2 linked regions of the Macaca mulatta genome follow. The protein of the gene in region 1 interacts with the protein of each later gene in a pairwise test. Links are inferred from orthologs where the notes say so. Each region holds a gene or a part of one and is shown on either strand. Other genes may lie near its edges.

What was found. The genes of interacting proteins can lie anywhere in the genome.
Region 2: the proteins of FHL2 (region 1) and CSN2 interact in binary tests that used the Homo sapiens proteins (3 or more experiments, as listed by UniProt). The two-hybrid records come from large-scale screens. The link is inferred for Macaca mulatta from reciprocal best matches to the Homo sapiens genes FHL2 and CSN2.

The regions. Positions count from the first base shown.
Region 1 is NC_133418.1:13,501,045-13,504,802, forward strand, and holds the start of FHL2 (four and a half LIM domains protein 2), read right to left. Parts: upstream 2,520-3,758; 5' UTR 2,223-2,519; coding exon 1,968-2,222; intron 1-1,967. UniProt on the Homo sapiens protein: May function as a molecular transmitter linking various signaling pathways to transcriptional regulation. Negatively regulates the transcriptional repressor E4F1 and may function in cell growth.
Region 2 is NC_133410.1:63,895,445-63,898,420, reverse strand, and holds part of CSN2 (beta-casein), read right to left. Parts: intron 2,348-2,976; coding exon 2,321-2,347; intron 2,216-2,320; coding exon 2,189-2,215; intron 1,195-2,188; coding exon 1,174-1,194; intron 1,083-1,173; coding exon 1,038-1,082; intron 1-1,037. UniProt on the Homo sapiens protein: Important role in determination of the surface properties of the casein micelles.

The DNA of each region.
Region 1 (3,758 bases):
CAGGCTCAAGGAACTTTTTACCTCGGGGCATCTGAGTCAGAGAGCCGCTTACCAACTTTACCAACTCAGGCCCCGGTGCTGACAAAGGAAGCTGCCTGAGTCACAGAGGCTGAATAACTGGCCCTCAGCACAGGACGGGAGTAAACTGATATCTAGTCTGATTTGTGTGTGTGTGTGTGCAATATTCTACTGGGTGTTTTTGACTGCAATTTAAATATCTTTCAGTACTGGAAGTGGCTTAACACGCAATCTTGGGTCAAAGAATGCAGCATAAGGCCTCATAGAAATATTCAAATGTTAAAAAATAAATAAATATTCAAATGTTCCTCCCGTGGTGTGTTTAGGGTTAGAACTCAGGTTCTCAAGTTAAGCTGCCTGGGGTCAGATCTCAGGGCTACCATTTACAGCCTGGGAAACCCTGAGTTAAAGTTACTTTGATCTCTGTTTTCAGTGTCTTTACCTGTAAAAATGAGGCTGTCAAATAGGTACACACTGTCTATGATGTCCAGACTTTTTAACAACCCTGCCAAAGAGACAACATCATTGTCACTGTTTCCCAGTGAAGGAAACCGAGACACCACGACATGAAGTGATTTGGCCCAGGCTGCACAGGTTGAGGGACCCGGATGTAAATTCAGGCAGCCTAGATGCAGTCCCCCGCATCCTCTAGCCTACCGCATCTGCCTGTGGTTATTTGTGAGACCGTGAGCTAAAATGAGACAGAATCTATGTGCCCAGAACAGTTTCTGGTCTTTAGTAAGCCCATCATTAGCCTTCATCGACATATGATGGTGTAAACGCATTTTAAACCATGGCAGGCTAATAAACACCATGAAAACACAATTCTATGTATCAATTGATGATCTTCTAAATTGGAGGGTGATCTAAATCCAGTAACACTTGAAAAAATTTTATATAAATGCACAATGAAATGTTCTTTGAGTTTGATTTTATTAAAATTAAATTGATAGACTAGGAATTCCTGTACTTCTAAGACTTGCTGCAAATTTTTTTTTTTTTTTTTTTGGTCTAAAACATCTTCAGGATAGTGCAAAACCTCTTTTCTTTAATATATTATTATAAAACATTCGTTAGTAGAGTCAGCACCAAAAATGTGAGATGTATTTGGAGTTGTGTTTTGAAGACAGTTCTCCTGATTCTAAGCCCAAATTGTGATTTATTACCTTCCAAAATATGTGGAAGGGAGTGCGGGCCTTAAGTTCAGTGCTGTCTAAGTTCACTGCTGCTTGGAGGCCAGCTACACATTTCAGCTAACGGGGTTAGCCTACTTCCAATTAAAACCTGACTGGGGATATGAAAGTAAATATGATTGATTCATTTAAAATCTGAAAAACAGTATTTTCTTCCCTCAATTTCTAGTATGCTAAGATATCACACGAGTGCAACTTAAGAAAAACTTAGAATCTTTTTCATTTAAAATACGCCTTTTTTTTTTAACCGAATGGTTCAGTTATTAAATGTCTACACGAGTCAAGGAGTGAGGTCACACTGCAAGCTCCACTTATTTCTACTGAAGGGAAATAGCCCGGACACCCCCGCGCAGACCACCGTGCCAGGACAACCGGCTCCGGAGTCGGGCCTTGAAGCAAGGGGACAGCGTCACCTCCCCGCAGCCGCCGGCTGGGACCCGCGGCCAGCCTTTACCCAGGCTAGCCAAGCCCCTGCCCGCATGGCGGTGCCCCACCTGGTGAGGACTTGGGCTGTAATCCCCCCTCTGGGGATGGGTCCGTGGGCTCCTCTGAGCTCCAGCGCCCCCAGGGTCTAGCCCCCTCTCATTGCTCCGCTCCCCTCTTCCCGTGGTCTCCCCACTCCCAGCCCCCAGGGATCTGCTCCCCTCTCCCGGGTCTACCCTACAGCTCATTTCCTTTCTCCCGGCTTCTCTCCGCACGGTTCGGCTCCCCTCTCCCAGGGTTCTTCTCCGACCCACAGCTCTCCTCTCCACTCACCGGTCTCCCCAACTCCGGATCTGCTCCCCTCTCCCCGGGTCTCGCACCGGATTCGGCCCCCTCTTCCGAGTCCTGGTGGCTAAGCCCCTCGGCCTCCCTCCGGGGCGCAGGGAGCTGGAGGTACTCACGGCGCCGCAGCGGCCCGGGGACTCCCGGACGGCGCGGGCGGGCGCGGGCGGCTGGTGGCTGCTGCTCCGCTGCCGGCCGAGTGGAGCGCTGCGCGGCTCCCGCCCTCGAGAACCCCCTCCGTGTCATTTGACCATATAAGGAGATGCACGCCTCGGCTCGCTGGCACCGGGCGTGGGGCGCTGGGGGCGGGCGCCCCCTGGCCTAGCGGTCGCCGTGCCCCCGCCCCGGGCTGCGGCGCTCCCGGCCCATGCCCTTTGTTTGCCAGGGCTCTTTCTTCTTGCCCTCCGGGTCTTGGGAGCACCTTGGTTATCCCGAGAGTCTCCTCCGACGTGGGCGTGAGTTTCGGACGGGGCCTGGACGCCAGTGGCAGGGGTCTGCCCACGCCGGGATCTCTGCCTGCTCCCAGGAGCAGGAAGCTGGCGAAGCCCGAGGAGGTGCCGGGGACGGCGGAGGGAGGAGGGGGCCACTTCTCAGGAGGCATGTGCCTGGGATGTATTTGCACGGTGGATTTTTTTCCTTCTTACCCTGCAGATGCTTCTTTACGAAAAGAACCCCACAGATGACCGTAAAGAATCGTTCGTTCCACTAGGGAGGGGACTAAAGGAAGGTCCTATCCCTACCTCTCCCTCTCGGGGCCAGAAGACTAGTTAGACATCCTGGATTCCCCTCCAGGGCGGGAAAAGCAAAGTGAGCTGGGAGCGTGCCTCCCACACTCCAAGCCTGTGCCCTCTGAGTGAGACTGACGCTGGGTAGGGACAGATGGCACTGTTCAACATTGTCGCAGGGAGAGCACAGGCTGAGCCCATCCCTGGGAGAGGGTGCATCGTGATAGAAACGTTTGCTCCTGAGCAGGTAACTGGTCCACTTGCAGAAACCGATGGACGATGAGCAGGTGGACAACAAAGGCGTCCTAGGCACTTTGGGGGCAGGTGTATTATTTTTAACATTCAGGGCAGCTCATAGGAATACATCCTCCAGAGAAGGCAGGAAGAACTCCGTGATTGCTTTCTTTTAGTTGATACTCCCCATCTGGTAGCCCTCATGGATCTCCATCATGGAATCACAGAACTTGAGAATCAAGGGTTTCATCACCTTAGCTTCCACTCTATGAGCACTAGCTCCACCTGGTATCTCATTTGATCCACACTTCCTTAAGGTAAAGATTTTTACCAGATTTATGGTGAGGAAAGTTCAGCTCAGAGAGATTTGCTCAAGGCCACGTGAAAGGTAACTGTGCCAGCTGAGATTTGAACTGGAGTCCGGTAGATGGCAAAACCATGTAAGTATATTACGGGATCAGAAATGCCTCTCATCCCTCAGTCACTCAGGTGACTCCAGAGGACTGAGACTTGCCATAAGCCCAGCCAGAACTAGATGTGCGGAATACAGCCGTCCCCTAACCCCACCCCACGGTGTCCCTGAAACGGGACACTTCCCTGAAGAACCTGAGTTAAGGCCACCCTCCCTGAATTTCCACTAAGTGTCAAGGCAGGCTAGTATTTTGAAATTCAGAGCAAAGTTTGTGTAGAAAAGGCTCCCAGCCCCTGACAGCTACCTAGCTGTGTTGTCGCTATTGTTACATATTAGGAAATGGTCTCCTAGTTCTCAAATGGTGAGCCTTAAGCTGCAGTTTGTAAAAACAAGTCCTAAAATGATGAAACA
Region 2 (2,976 bases), on another chromosome or scaffold:
CTCTCTTTTAGGCAATGATAAATGAGTAGAAAGAGAGGAAGAAAATATTTCACTTATTTTGTTAAGAAATTATCTTGAGTTATGTGAGGAAAAATGAGTAAAATGTTTGTTGAAAGATTTTAATCCACTCACTTCATGGGTAACTACACAGGCCAAAGTGAAATCAATGTTTGGATATTTCAGAAACATTCTTTTAACCTTTTCCTGAATTGCCTGTATAGCTGTAACTGTACACTTTGGTCTTCAGAGAGAATTTACTTTTCAACACAGTTGTGCCAATAATAGACCAAATTGTTTTCACACAGTGAAAAGAGGTCAGTTTAAAAAGACTTAGAGGGACAATTCCAAGGTTCATTTTTGTTTTGTTTTGGTTTGATGAAAAAGAAAATCAGTCTTAATTTGTGGCTTATCTCAGGAAGTGATTTAACACCAGCCAAATTCTTGCATTCCTTCCCTTGGGAGAAGATAGTCTCTTGAGTCTTTCAAGAGACATTGATTTTTTTGTTTAAAATTGATTTTAAAAATATTTTATGTGATACCAAACAATTCATTGATACACAAAGCAACTGAAAATTGTGATTAGGTAAACATATCACCATAAATGTAATTTAATGAAATACAGGATTTTGTGTTGTCCATACGGGAATGAAGGCAGTATGGCACAAATTCTACATAGTTTATTTTTTACCAGCTGTATACTCCTTTTCATTACCATATCCACCTTGAAAATAAGAGGATCATAGTTCCCAACCTGGAAATGTTCCCACCAATGTGCGCTTGTTGAAAACAGATATACCATTAGTAATATCATTATGTATTTAGTCTATATTCCAGAAATTAATTATGAGTTTAAAAATGCATGCATATCCTAGAAAATATATTGACTTTATCAATGTTTAATTTTTTTACAGTGGTTCGTGGGTATATGGCATTTATTTTATTACCATTCTTTAGAATCAACATATACATTATAAATATTTTTGTATGTATTATACTTTATGATAATTTTAGAAATATACTTATCGTTAACAAATTACCTCTCTTTGCTGCTGGTCCTCATGTTTAACCTTCTCAACTGTCTGCTAAAAATAAATCATATATAAAAATATGTTACCATCTGTAAAAATTAGAGGAAATTTTGAAAATATGTACATTTTAAATGTGAAAATTTACCTTGTATTGTGTAATAGATTCCTATGGAAAAATATAAAATAAAATTAGATTTAGTTTTAACAATTCTTACTTTGCAATATAAATCAGGAAATAAAGGCATTAATTGTTTGATAATATCATTAATAACTTTGTATAATCATTAAAGCTTATATATTAAATTGTTCTATATAAGCTTGTTGTATAAAAGAAAGTCAGATGAATGCAGTCAAGAAGGACATGGCACAAAAAAAGCAATTAATAGATGCTAATTTCTCTCTACCACCATGCTCATCCCCTGACAACAAATGATCTCTAAAACCCCATTTGGTTTTTTAAAAAAGGCAATACTCTTTGAAAATATGTTCTAATAACAATTGATACATTATGATCACTTCAAATGAATCAGAAGAGTTAAACATTTCCCTTAAGGATCATACAACCTTCCTGAAGAAACAGAGTCTATTGAGGTACCATTTACTTATCAAGTGATCACACACCCAAGAAGAGAGATGTAAGAATAAATATCTACCTGACTCTCTCAGGTAGATTTAGGACTACACTAAATCTCACTTATTTGCTAAAGTGGCAATTGTAATTATAAAATGTGACCTTTTTCATATCTGCTTACCTACTGCTTAGCAAGCTCTTAACTATCACTCGCATCTCTATCTTTTCAGTTTGTACCACAGCTCCTAGTCGATGTCTGACCCATAGAAGACCCTCAATATATGCTCAAAGTGAATGAGTTCAGAGTAAAGAGAGTTCAAGGCAGAAAACAGGACTGTATGGTTCATTAAAAAAGAAAAAAAAAAAGAGGAAGCAACATAACACAATTTCAAGTAGCAAGCCAATTTAGAAAGTTCCAGAATGTTGTATTTTCCAGATACTTATTGTCCTTAAACATATATAAAGGAAATGTATACTAGAACTTATATGTCATTGACATAGTGGCATTAGCTTAACTGCCATGATATAACACCATAGAAAAATAGCACAGGATTTTACTCTTCTAAAATTGGGCAGAATGTTAACTTACCTCACTGCTTGAAAGATTTTCTACAGTCTGTGGAAAAAAAAAAAAAATGACAACCAGCTACATCTTCTAGATCATTAGAGAATTTTACTATTTTATGGTTCATAAATTTTCTCTAAACAAAAAAAATCTTACCTCAAAGGATGCACTGGATTGTTCCTTCTGAAAAGATGTTTAAAAATTCAGTTTCTACAGCTAACACATTGTTAAACATGTATCCTACTTAATTTTTACATCATTTATGCAGATCTATCTCTTTCACAAATGTGACAAATTAAAAATGTTATATGACTTTTGAGGCTTGAAAGGTAATTGCTTTAATGTCTTTTACATTTAGTAATTTTTATTAATATACTTTTATCTTACATTTATTAAAGACAGTTTTTGATGGTTGAGTCACTTTAATTTGTATTAAATATTTTTACTATATTATTATGAATGTATGATTAGGATTATGATTGTGTCTGTACTTCATCCTATGGATGCCTTTGTATAGACAGACTTGGACCCAGTGCCCTAGGCTATAAGATATATATACATTTTATGACTGGAATAAGATATGTTTATCTAGGTTGAGCATCTGTGGAGTTATTTATGCATGTATTTGTTGCCATTTTTATGATTTTTTATTACTTATTGATTTGTTTGCTTTTTCTTTAGTGACTAGCAGCACATTGGTGTCGGAAGCATTTGGAGCACTATAGGAAACTGTTGAGACAGTGGGTAAATATAAATGATTTTGATAGAAGTCAAGATAATTTTCATGAAATTCTTCTTTATTATAAAGTAAA